3 linked regions of the Oryctolagus cuniculus genome follow. The protein of the gene in region 1 interacts with the protein of each later gene in a pairwise test. Links are inferred from orthologs where the notes say so. Each region holds a gene or a part of one and is shown on either strand. Other genes may lie near its edges.

The links. The genes of interacting proteins can lie anywhere in the genome.
Region 2: the proteins of CCDC136 (region 1) and ATP5PO interact in binary tests that used the Homo sapiens proteins (3 or more experiments, as listed by UniProt). The two-hybrid records come from large-scale screens. The link is inferred for Oryctolagus cuniculus from reciprocal best matches to the Homo sapiens genes CCDC136 and ATP5PO.
Region 3: the proteins of CCDC136 (region 1) and SHFL interact in binary tests that used the Homo sapiens proteins (3 or more experiments, as listed by UniProt). The two-hybrid records come from large-scale screens. The link is inferred for Oryctolagus cuniculus from reciprocal best matches to the Homo sapiens genes CCDC136 and SHFL.

Annotation. Positions count from the first base shown.
Region 1 is NC_091434.1:164,988,519-164,992,691, forward strand, and holds the start of CCDC136 (coiled-coil domain-containing protein 136), read left to right. Parts: upstream 1-1,373; 5' UTR 1,374-1,449; coding exon 1,450-1,507; intron 1,508-2,144; coding exon 2,145-2,252; intron 2,253-3,895; coding exon 3,896-4,144; intron 4,145-4,173. UniProt on the Homo sapiens protein: May play a role in acrosome formation in spermatogenesis and in fertilization.
Region 2 is NC_091435.1:11,119,817-11,124,106, reverse strand, and holds the start of ATP5PO (ATP synthase subunit O, mitochondrial), read right to left. Parts: upstream 2,801-4,290; coding exon 2,765-2,800; intron 1,713-2,764; coding exon 1,662-1,712; intron 915-1,661; coding exon 804-914; intron 1-803. UniProt on the Homo sapiens protein: Subunit OSCP, of the mitochondrial membrane ATP synthase complex (F(1)F(0) ATP synthase or Complex V) that produces ATP from ADP in the presence of a proton gradient across the membrane which is generated by electron transport complexes of the respiratory chain.
Region 3 is NC_091447.1:67,206,277-67,210,389, reverse strand, and holds the start of SHFL (shiftless antiviral inhibitor of ribosomal frameshifting protein), read left to right. Parts: upstream 1-1,313; 5' UTR 1,314-1,597; coding exon 1,598-1,618; intron 1,619-2,114; coding exon 2,115-2,238; intron 2,239-2,367; coding exon 2,368-2,417; intron 2,418-3,630; coding exon 3,631-3,669; intron 3,670-3,769; coding exon 3,770-3,919; intron 3,920-4,113.

The sequences.
Region 1 (4,173 bases):
ACAGCTTCCTCCTCTGTCTCTCCCTTTGTCCACCAAGTGGTCAGCCGTCAAGGCCGTGGCGAGAGCCTGACCCTACTGGTGGAGACAGAACCAGAGAGGCTGGCTGTGCTGGGGCGGAAAGAACAGCCTCTTGGATGTGGGTCCCCAGAGCTCCACGCTCCCCAAGCCCCCCGTGCCAGCCCCTTCCAAGCGTCCCGACGACTCCCCACACCCCCGGCTTCAGCAGAGCTGCTATTTCCCGCTCACTGGGCTCTTCTGGCCGCAAGGTCTGGAGCAAGTGCAGGAAACACCCCCGACCTGTGTTCACCATTTCTCAGCGCCTCAGGCTGCGGGGGGGGGGGGGGGGACCGAGCCAAGGGGACAGGAGAGGGGCTGGGGAGTAAGGGACTTGCAGGCAACGTTCTTGCTAATGGGCACCGTGGACTGCACAGGATGTCGCCCTCTGCTCACTGCTAAGACAGCATTACCTGTGCTTGACTTGTACACGCGCCTTCTGTGCCTCAGGTACTCTGACCGATGCTGGAGACACAAGGTCTAAGATACTTCCCAACCTTCAAGAAGCTGGGCACACAGGATCCTCGCCCCCCACCACCATGCTGGGAGGCGCAGAGCCCAGAGAGGGCATCCCCTGGGGAGCAGATGAGGCCTTCCACGTGTAGGGCCTGGGAATCCGGGAGGAGGAGGCGCAGGGGTGAATGAAGGCAGACAGCCCTTCTAGGTGCCCCCCCCAACCTGGCGGCGGATATGCAAGAGAAGGGGTCTGTGCGCCTCGGGTTTAGGGATCTCCCACGTTTCTGAGAGGTGACAACTGCCTCGGCAATCCAGCGCCCGCAGCCACTCCCTGAATGCGTGGACGGTTGAATAAGAAGCCCTTTGGGACCCCACTGCTCCCTTCCACTGGAGTGACCATGGCAGACTTCGGCGGGGGCGTGGTTTGCAGCCACTGGGTGTGGGCCGGAGGGAGACAGAGCGGGACGGTGAAGGGGTCTTCGGGCCCGGGGCTGTGGCTGGGTGGGCGTCCAGGGAACACGGAGGGCTCAGGCCCCGCAGTGCTCATGTCCCGGCCTGGCTTCCCCCACGAAGGCGCTTGGAGGGGGTCACCGCGCTGCGGGGATGGGCACCTTGCCCTTCCTCCGCAGTCATTGGGCAGGACCGGGCCCCGACACCGGCCGCAGAGGCGTCCCTGCCACCACAGCAGATGGATGTGGCCGCTCCTTGTCGGGGCAGCTCGTGTCGGAGGGCAAGACCCGAGGCGTGCCGAGGCGCGCTCACCTTCGCAGAGAGCGCGCAGGGAGGGCTTCCGGGAGGCGGCGGCGGCGGCAGCAGCGGGAGGCCTGGCCAGGCCCCGCCCCTCGGTCCGCCCTCTCTCCTCCCCGCGCGCCCATTCGGGTCCCGGCCCGGCGGCTGCGGCTTCGGCTCGGGGAGGCGGCGGCAGCGGCGGGAGCGGCCATGGAGGCGGGCGCCGGGGCCGGCGCGGGAGCCGCGGGCTGGAGCTGCCCGGGCCCAGGTCAGAGCCGTCCTCCCTCCCCTCACCGCCCCTCCTGCCTCCGCTCCTGCGCGCCTGCCTGCAGACCCCGGGCATCCCTGCTCCTCCGCTGCCCACCCCTCCGCCCTCAGCCTTCCTCCCTCCGTCCCCGCGCGTCCCGGGCCCGGTCTCCATCTTTCCGGTACAGCGGCCACATCCTCCCCGGGGGCCCTCCCCTCTTGCCCCTCCAGCTCGCGGGGGCTCCAGCCGCTGCAGCCCCTCCAGTCCTAAAGGCTCCTGGGCGCCCGGCGAGGTGTGACGGGAGGGGCGGGGCGGGGCGGGTAGGGGGCGTCCCCGCCCAGACCCCTTCGTGCGCCTCTGTCGCCGCTTTGCAGTCGCACGGCCGCTCCCCCTTCCTGGCTGCTGCTCTTCCTTGCGTCCCAGCCCCTCTCCTCTCGGTCCCCTCTTCTGAACATACGCCCGCCCTCCTTCTGCCTAGACCAGGACCCCAGCTGGGCTGGGGTCCCCGCGGGGGAGGCTGAGGGAGGGGAGTCGCAGAGCTGAGCTGGCAGGCGCCTCCGCTGGGATTGCAGATCCCAGGGCCCCACCGGCCTGGAAGGCACGTCCGTCCCCTCTCTTCCCCTGCCCCCCACATGGCTTCCTGTCTCCCTGCTCACAGGACCCACAGTAACCACTTTAGGCTCCTATGAGGTGTCCGAGGGCTGTGAGAGGAAGAAGGGCCAGCGCTGGGGGTCCCTGGAGCGGCGAGGGATGCAAGCTATGGAGGGTGAGTTTCCCAAAAGGGCATCTTTCTTTCCGGTCCCTTCTCCTCCCTCCCTGTGACCCCAGAGCTCCGAGCCCGTGCCACAGCCCTGACCTCTGTTTCCCTCAGGCCCCTCCTCCTTTGGGTGGGAACTCCAGTCCTCCCCAGGGCGCTCTGAGGAAAGTTCAAGGTGCATCCCTTTGGGGCCCCGATGGCACAGCTAACCAGGTTGCGTGCCCCTGGGGAGCTGCCAGACAGAGAACCAGGCCTCTGTGGACAGAGCTTTGAAGCAGTCTTTCAGTGGGGGGTTCGTTCTCCCCGCCTGCGACCCAGATCCCAAGCTGTCTCTGGTTTTTAAAAAAGGCAAGGGCATGGGCACCGCCATGCACTTCAAAGCAAAGTCTCGCAGCTGCGGTCCTCCGGGCTCTGGTCGCCTGGAAGAGCCAGGCCAGGAAGGGCAGGTGAGGCCGTCCCCTCCGACGCACGTGGGTGCCCACCCCACCCGTGTGACTGGGCACCGCAGCCAACGCCGGGCCCCTGGAAGAACACGGCTGGTCCAGGTGCCGGGACTCCCTGGGAGGAGTCCCCAGGCCCCTCCGCCTATTCGGTGTGGGCCACCCTGGTCCCCTTAAGAGGGGCAGGTGACACAGGGGTCCCAGCTGAGCCTTAGGCTGCTGCTAAGAGGAAGTAAGAGCAGAGCCTCTGCATTTGAAGACAAAGCAGACAATCACCGTTCAGACAAGATTTTGCTATTTCCAGGAACTGCATTGCAGTGAAAGAGGGGCTGCTCGCCAACCAGGGGCTGGGGACCAGCACCTAACCCCCCCCTGTTGCTATTATTATTATTATTATTTTTTTCCTTTGAAACACATTACAGTGGCAGGCTCACTTTTACACACAGGTGCAAGCTAAGACTTGCCCTGAAAACTCCAGGGGCAAGAGGGGTTATCAAGGGAAGAGGGGCCTCACCCTGCTCAGGTGGGGAGGGGAGGCCCTGTGACAGCCAGGAGGGCCAAGGGAGGAGGGGCCTCACCCTGCTCAGGTGGGGAGGGGAGGCCCCGTGACAGCCAGCCCCAGCAGGGCCAAGCAAGGGGAGCTTGCAGAAAATTCCAAACAGCTGTTTGACAGAATGCGTTTGAAAGGGCCCCCGCGTTTGTCCAGTGAATTTAGAATCATTTCATTCACATGTTTTCTTTCTCTACCTACTGACGGGCAATGTTTGCTTATTATGGAAAGGCTAATTTTACACTAAGCCACCTGAATAATTTAAAAAAAAAAAACTTTCTACAAATCCTCAAACTGTAACTCTGGCCCTGATTGGCCTAAAGGCATGCCTGGTGTCCGAATCTCCTGACCATTCAGCCCTCTCCCCAGAGAACACACTAGAAAAGACTTGGGTGTGCATGTGTGGTTCCCCGGGCTGAGCCAGGAGACTGTTTGCCCACAGGTTGGAGGCAGAGGCCACCAAGCGTGCCGTTGGGCCAGGAGGATCTGGGGGAGGGGAGGGCGAGGTGGCCTCCTGACCTGCCCCTAACACCTAGGGCTCATCAGGCATCCAGGGGACTCCTGGGCACACCGGGCGGCACTGTTACGCCGCTCTGCCCTCTGGAAGGGCCACGCACAGGAGGCTGGCACTGACTCTCTTCTGGGCTGGGCGTCTCTCCCAGGAGAGGTGTTACTGCCAGCTCTCTATGAGGAGGAAGAGGAGGAGGAGGAGGAGGTGGAAGAAGAAGAAGCTGAGCACATGCAGAAGGCTGGCAGCGGAGGCTCCTTGTCCCTGAGCAAGCACCGGGGCCTGAGCCTCACCGAGACTGAGCTGGACGAGCTGAGAGCCCAGGTGCTGCAGCTGGTGGCCGAGCTGGAGGAGACGCGGGAGCTGGTCGGGCAGCATGAGGACGACTCCCTGGAGCTGCAGGGTGAGCGCCTGCCGCGGGCCGGGGGGCCT
Region 2 (4,290 bases), on another chromosome or scaffold:
GTTTTCTAAGTACATGGATTAAAAATGCAAGGTGTTCTGAAAACACACAGTCACACGGCACAGGCTACCCATGGGACTGTGCCTCCCACCCCTCCCTTCCTGGCAGAGGGGAGGGGCGAGGAGAAAGTACACCGAGGGGACACAGCGGAAGGGGCGGGAACTTGGGACGTCGGGGCAAAGCGAGCAGGGCTGCTCCCGTCTCAGCTGCACTGCAGCGTTCTGCTAACGCACCTTACGTAGTCTTCATGCTACCCAGCACGGCACCGGCCCGCCCAGGGGCTGCCCTGCGGTTCCGTCGGCAAGGCGCCCACCACCTTCCCTCCTTTTGCTGCCCAGGAGGCGCGGCTGCCATCCTCCCCTCTCGTCTTGGGAACAACCTACTAATTAAAACCCAGGAAACGGCTTCATAAGGAAAACAAACTCTCAGACAAAACCAACAGGCATTTTAAACACTGTTGTAGAAACTGCTGGATAGCAAGCTCGGATTCTTGAAGGCAACCTTTTAAATCCTTTCCTGAAATGGCACTTTTTCTTAAATCATCACCTTACATTTGAAGTGATATTTCTATCTCGTCTCAGCCCAAAGCCAGGTTCCCTGCATTACTCTCCGTGTGTGTATCTGCTTGTTCCTGTTATAGAAGTTTCAGAAGACAAGCCAACACTATCGCTAACAGCATGCGTAAGAGAATTATTATTCTGTGACTCCTCTCCCAGAAGCTGTCTTGTCAGGACGCACAGCTAAGGCGCCACAGCAGAGAAGCGCGCAGGGCCACCGCGCACGCGCAGTGAGGGGAGGCGCTTACCGCTACTCTCAGCAGCTCCTTCTCCACCTGCTCCAGTTTGTTCTGCTTGGAGGCGGCCGAGTAGAGGGCGGTGGCATAGCGGCCTTCCACGCCGTACACCTGCACCGGCGGCTTGAGAGGGAGAGGGAAGCCGAGGGAGATCGGTGAACCGTGCTTCGTACAGACAACACGGCACGGACAGTCATCAGAGGGCTGTCCTAAGAACAAACCCTCACACCGATTAGGGGTCTGGGTGTTTCCTTGGCCTGACCAGGCAAACGTTTAGGAAGCGCCCGCAGGCACCCCTTCCTCCCTGCGGCGGCGCTGCTGGGGCTCCGCTCCCGGCCCCCACGCCCCAGCGTTCAACGCCACAGAGCCCACGCTTGCACCATCTTCCCCAGGGGACTGCGGCCTTTTCCCTACACGCCACAGTCAATGTACGACTGCACGTGCCGCGTGGTGCTGCGTGGCTGCACAGGGGAAAGCCCAGGCAATAGTGAGGCCGAGCAAAGCACCGTCTCCTGGAGCCTCAGTTTCCCCTTTCACACAACGGCAAGGCCTGCCATGCTCCAGCGCCGCAGAGGGGCGGTGAGAACTTCTCACGTGGAGGGTGGCTCTGGGCGATCTGGTGCTTGGACGACGGCAGGGATGTGACAGTCACTTCTCACCCACTTAAAGGTTCCGCTGGCGTCTGTCACAGGGCAAGCACCCTCCACCATCACCGTCCCCACCCTGCGCACGTGTGTCTTGTGAATCGCAACAACATGCAAAGGTTTACGTAGAAGCGACACCACAGGCCACGGCCTGACTGTAGGGCTAGAGCATGCACACCCTCCCACAGGCCCCTCCCCCACACAGGCGTGTGTATAAAGGACCTACCCTCACGAGCTTGGCAAACGGCCGGACCACAGATGTACTGAAGCTTCGCACCTTCAAAGCAAGAATGGAAACAGGTCAAAAGAAATGTCTTCGAGAATCTCTGTAATTCATTCAATCGCGACCTAAGGCTGCCTTTTAAACGATGTTTTTTGACATAGACTCCACGCGGGTGAGCTGTCTTTATTAGCCAGGAGTCCATGTTCTCACCGAGAATCACGCCACGTTGTTTGGAAAATCGCTTTCCCAGTAATCTCCTAGTTTGCCAGGAACCGGCCGAGGCAAGCGCCCAGTACCAAGGAGAAAACGCTACCTTCCAGGAAGTTAACATCTAACATTTCTGAGCGGGATTTTAACACAAGGGGGAGGAATCCGTAAGGAGCTGTAACAGATGGGCTGTCAGGAATCCACCTGCTGTCTAGTGGTTAGGGCGCGGGAGCGTGACCGCACAAGTTCAAGTCCCCAGCGATGCCCTTGCGGCTCTCAAGGGCCATAATCCACGCACCCGCAAAGGCACGGACCGCCCTCCAGGGCTCTGAGCTCCAGAACGCACTGTGTTAAAACCGGCTCTAAGGGCAGGGTTTTCGGGCTTATGGGGAAATCATGGAAACTACAGCGGGGTCAAGTGCGCAAAGCATCGCGGTGAGACGGAAGCGCGGCTATTTGATTTATTTTTCCCAACGCCACTTTCTCGGTGACACTGGGGTTCGGGTCTTAACCCCATCACTCACTACCCAAGCAGCCCAGGACGCCCCATTTGAACTTCTCATGTCCTTTATAAACCTGGGAAATCCGCCTGAAGTCACCAGCGACCCCCGACGGTTTATGGAACAGCCCAGGCGGCGAAGCCCGGGGCTGGCCGGTGGCCCCTGGCGCCAGGGGTTTCCCGGGCTGTGCCCTGAGGACGCCGAGATGACCGCGCGCCCAGCACCGCGCCGGGCACCCCACAGGCGTCCCGGGGGACGCGAGCCGGGCCGCCCTCACTCGCCAGGCCCCACGACCTTGAACGGCGGCCTTGGTTTCCCAGCGGTGGCCTCGAACCCTAGCGCGCAGGCTCTGGTACAAGTTTCCCCAAGGAGGGCGTCCTCCCAGCTAGCTTCTCTCACCTGCCGGGTGAGCCCGCACACTGCGGGGGCCGCCATCTTCTCCCGGGCAGCTGTAGGTCAAATCCGAGCTGGAAGAGGAAGGGGCGCGAGGGCGCACGCGCGCGTCAGCGTACCCGCTAGGCTCTCTGGGAAGTGTAGGCGTAGGTCGCCACAGCGCGTGCGTAGCCACCTCCTTCAAGCTGGGAGTTGTAGTCCTTAGACGATGCAGTAGGGGTGACCTCCCAGGGGGAGGCTGCACCTGCGAAAGGAATCCTTGAGTTCTGGTCCCCGGGGTAAAAACGATGGCGTTTGTCGCATTTCACAGATACCTTTATGTCCGACTACTCATCCCTCCAGCTGCCTTCTGGAGCTTCGTTTTCCCTTTTGCGGGAACAGGTTTAGCCGACAGCATCGCCGACCTCCTCTTGGGCGCTTCCTTCGTGGCGCCTTCGGCAGAGGTGTCCTTGGAAGCAGGGCGGGTGCGTGCCGGGTACCGACAGCCTAGCGAAGCCGGGCTGCGGGGCTGCCGCCGCGGCTCTCCCCCGCCCGCTGGAGCCGTTGGGAACTGCCATGGCCCCTCCTGGAAGCGTCTTTATACATTCATTAAAAAAAAATTAAGATAAATTCCAAATAGTCCCCAGAACCGGCACAGCCTGGTGAGATAGTCCAAGTACTTGGCTTCCGATGCGTGAGGCCAAGTCCTTTCCACAGGGTTAAACCAAGTCATGCTTTTCGCTCGCTAGTAGTGTCTGAAAATCCTTGTTCCCCTGCACAATGCAAATCATATTTCCAAATACATATTTAATTTAATTTAAATTTTTAAAAAGATTGATTTTATTTATTTGAAAGTCAGAATTACAGGAGGAGAGAGAGACAGAGACAGAGACAGAGGGCGAGACATCTTCCATCCACTGGTTCACTCCCTAGGTGGCTGCAACAGCCAGGGCTGGGCCAGGCCAAAGCCAGGAACCAGGAGCTTCTTCCAGATCTCCCACGTGGGTGCAGAGGACCAGGAACTTGGGCCATCTTCTACTGCTCTCCCAGGCCATAGCAGGGAGCTGCACCGGAAGTGGAGCAACCGGGACTCCAGCCAACGGCCATATGGGATGCTGATGCTACAAATGGCGGCTTTACCTGCTCCTCCACAGCGCCAGCCTCTTCCATATACATCTAATGGAAAGTCTATTCATTTAACACGCTTTGTGGAGCATGGGTCCTGTGTGTCAGAAGCTGTACCATGCCTTGAAGACAGAGCAGGGTATGACAAAGGGCTTGTCTTCGTAGGCCTGGTATTCTCCGTGAAATTGAACGGCAGCACCTGTGTGGGTTTTTGGAGCTATACTGCGAATCCAAAGTGCTGAGGCCAAAAACGCTTGGAAAACAGGGTCGCTCTGAAAAAGATTGGGAATTCATCTGCAGGTGTGTCCCACGGGGACACGCCCTCTGTTTAGTTTGTATTCACCCCATTCCGCTCCACCCCCATGCACCTTCCCTATGCAGAGGTTTATGGGTATTTGAATTTTGGGATTTATTAGGTGGTTGCACAT
Region 3 (4,113 bases), on another chromosome or scaffold:
CATCCGAGTCTCCCTCGTGGGTGACAGGGGCGTGCCTGTTGTAGGATTGATGAATCCTATGGTAGGCATATTTTTAACTTAATAATTGATTTTATTTATTTGAAAGACAGAGATCTCCCATGCGCTGGTTCCCTCCCCAAATGCCTACAACATCCAACACTGGACCAGACCAAAACCAGGAGCCAGGAGCTCCCTCCAGGTCTCCCCCAGAGGTGTTAGGAGCCCCGTGCACCTGCCATCTCCTGGTGCCTCCCAGGGTGCGCATCAGCAGGGCACTGGAGTCGGGAGCTGGGATTCAAACCCTGGCACTCGAAGATGGGATGCCAGCGTCCCAGGCGGCAGCAAAACCTCTGTGCCCAACACCGCCCTGTGTTCCAGCAGTGTCCGGAGGCCACTTCTGAGGAGGGCCACGACTCCGGTGGCATCTAGGGCATGGGGGCCGGGGACAGATCCCCATCGCAAAGAGCTACTGGCCCAAAGTGTCCGCAGCTCTGTGCAGGCGGCTGAGAAAACGCAGTTGCTTCTTTCACCTGACTCCATCCTCACCAGCTATGACCTCAAACTTCTGGGGCTCTGTCCAAGCAGGAGATGATGTCCCCAGGCCGAGGGTCCCAGCTAAAGGCTCCCCAGGCCCCTCTGCTGGGGCCCCATGGGCCCCTCAACCGCCCGATTGAGAATGCAGATTCCAAAGCAAGCATTTGGCTTGAGAGGGTTAACGGGACACATGAGAGGCCTGCATGGCATGAGCTGAACTCCTGGGCTCTGATCCAGGTCCCAGTTCCCACTATAGCACAGCCCTGGGAGGCAGCAGGTGGTGGCTCAAGCACTTGGGTCCCTGCCACCCACGTGGGAGACCCGGATTGAGATGCCTGCTCCTGGCTTCGGCCTGACCCAGGCATTTAGGGAGTCCACCAGCAAATGGGAATGCACTCTCTCTCTTTATCTCTGCCAGCCAAATAAATAAAACTTTTAAAAAATAAAATGCACATTTCTAAAGCGCCCCCCAAAAGCTGGGGCCCATCACCCTGTGTTTTTCACAAGCACCTATGGATCATTCCCATTTTACAGAGCGATAAACTGAGGATCAGAAACGTCACAGTGGCCTGTCAGGAACTCAACAGCAGGGGAGGAGGGACCCCCCCCCACAAACCCCCCCAGGTCCTAACAAGCGCCCGGTCCGTGGGAGCGCACGCGGGGAGTGGGGGGCGCGGGGACCCGCCGCTGCCTTCGGAGGCGGCCCCGCCCCCACGGGGGACGTGAAGACGCGGCCCCCGCGCAGCGTGGGGACATGTGACCGACTGCAGAGGCCGCGCCGCCTCCCCCGCCCGAGGTGCGCGCGCCCCGCCGCAGGGCGCAGACCCCGCGCGCCCGCCTGGGTTTGGGGCGCAAGTGCAGAGGCGGAGCCGGGGCGGAGCCAGCGCACCCGTTCCCCACTTCGGAACCGAAAGCGAAACACCGGGCCCGGGCAGAAGGGCGGAGCCGGCCGCGAGACCCCGCCCCCTGCCCTGCGCGGCGGCCGGACCGACGGGCGCGCCCAGCGAGGAGGGCGGCTGAGCCACGCAGTGCGGACCCTCGCGGGGACCTGCGCGCCACCACCATGTCTCAGGAAGGTGTGGAGGTAGGCGATGGCCACGGCCGCGAGCCGAGGGGCCCGCGGCAGGCGCCGAGGGGGGCCCGGGGGCGCCGAGGGGGCTCCGCAGTTCCTGGGGGACCCCCATCCGCATCCCATCCCATGCTCAGGGCGAGCGCCCGGGCCCCCTCGGAGAGGAGCGCGCCGCTCACGTCCCCCGCCTCCGGAGCGAAGCGCGGCCTCCCCCCGAGGAGAAGCGGGGGCTGCGGGGTCAGGGGTCAGACCCAGGCCTTACCTGTGCGCCCCGCCCGCAGGCTGGGACCCGCGCCCGCCATCCGCTCCCACCCCCAGACCCTGTAGGGACTTGGGGGTTGTGCAGGAAATGTCGTGGAGAGATGGTGGGAAGGGGGGAGGGGGCGGAGGCCAAAACCAAGGCTAAAGTTCAGGCCCCAGGAATGTTACCTGGAGTTGGGGGAGGGGCGGCGGCTCGTCCCTCCCCCCCCCACCGGAGCCCACCTGTCCCCCCCCCCCCCCCCCGTCCCAGTTGGAGAAGAGCGTCCGGCGCCTCCGGGAGAAGTTTCATGGGAAGGTGTCGCCCAAGAAGGCCGGGGCTCTGATGAGGAAATTCGGCAGCGACCACACCGGCGTGGGTCGCTCCATCGTGTACGGTGAGCGCGCGGGGGTCCCCGGCCGGCGCCGAGGGGGCGTGGCGCGGGAGGGCCCAGCCGCGGGAGGGTCTAGCCGCGGGAGGGTCTGGGCGGCGCAGGCCGCTCAGGGGCCCTGTCTTATCCCGCCAGGGGTAAAGCAGAAGGACGGACAGGAGCTCAGTAATGACCTGGACGCGCAGGTAACCTGTCCCCTGGCCTCCAAGGTCGGGGTACCGGGCGGGAGAGCCGGGGGGACCCTCTGGAGCGAGCAGGGCTGGCCACACACAGCACCTTCCTCAATCATCGGCTGGGCCAGGGAGCCTGCAAACAGTAGGTGCTCATTAAGTGCTGATTGTGTTCCATGGAGCGGAGCGGACGCCGCCATTGGTGCCAGGGAGCCCAGGAAGTCAGGGAAGACTCCCTGGAGGAGGTGATGCAAAGCCTTGACAGGGAGGAGTGAGCCCTGGAATGGAAAAGCAGGGGAGGGGGTGACAGGTAGCATAGGCTGGGAGAGAAGAGGGGGAACTGACCCCAGAAGAGGCGGGAAGGGGGAAGCGGCTAGGGCGTCCTTGTGTTGAACGAATGAATGAGTGATGACTGGCTTTGTGTGGGAATGGCTGGATCTCACCTACCTGGAGATAAAGTGCGCATCCTAATCTTTATAGGCATAAAGCATGTGATAGAAATAATCACAGAGGGTAATCATTGACCCGGCACTTCCCCGAGGGGCCAGGTTCCAGGAACTGACTTGTTTGATCACCACACGAGCCAGGACCCATTATTGATCAGCCCATTTTACAGACCAGTACTGAGGCACGGTGGTGAAGTCATGCTTTCTCCAGGGGCCCCGGGGGGACGAGTGGTTTGCCCACGTTCTCACAGCCGGAAGTGCCAAAGCCAGGACTTGAACCTGTGTCTGTTCAAATCCAGAGCCCCAAGCACTAGCCGAAAGCGACGGGGCCTCAAATAGGTGGCGAGCTGGTGTTTAGCGCGAGGCGGAATGCCTGGTTGGAGTCCGGCTCCGCCTCTTCCGGTCCAGCTTCCTGCCATGGGCACGCTGGGAGGCGACAGGGATGGTTGAAGAGCTTGGGCCCCTACCGCCCACATGGGAGACCCCGATGGAGCTCCAGGCTCCCTGCTTCGGCCTGGCCCAGCCCTGGCTTTTGCGGGCGTTAGGATGATCTCGGGCAAGCCCTCCCCTGCCTCTGGGCCTCAGTTTCCCCATATGAGCAATGGCGAGAACAGGTGCGCCCACCTGTCGGGGCTAACGGAATGGCTAAGGGAAGCCATGTACCTGCTCCTTGCTGGCTGTGCACCTGCTCTGAGCTCTGGGAGGCCCCTCCCCCAGCAAAGGCGGGTAAAGGGGAGACCCGAGTGCCTGCCCCAGTTTCTGCCCCTGGCGTCTCCACGCAGGACCCCCCAGAGGACATGAAGCAGGACCGAGACATCCAGGTGAGTTGGCAGCTGGGCAGGGGGACCCGTGTGGGGGTGGCGGCAGACGTGTGCAAGGCAGAGGACGGTGACCCCTGTCCCCACCCTGCCCGTCCCGCAGGCCGTGGCCACCTCCCTCCTGCCGCTGACGGAGGCCAACCTGCGCATGTTCCAGCGGGCCCAGGATGACCTAATCCCTGCCGTGGACAGGCAGTTCGCCTGTTCCTCCTGCGACCACGTCTGGTGGCGCCGTGTGCCCCAGCGGAAGGAGGTGACCGCCTAAAACTTGACCTTGGTTTCTGTCCTGAACGCCACTCCTGACCCCTGACCTCTGACCTCCGAGCTTGACCCGCATCCCACCGGCTGACCTGCAGCTGCACTTCTGACCTCCGACCCCGCTGGTTGCGAATTGAACTTGACTCCAAAGCCACAACCCTAAATGTGGCGTCCAGGTTCCCCTGGGAG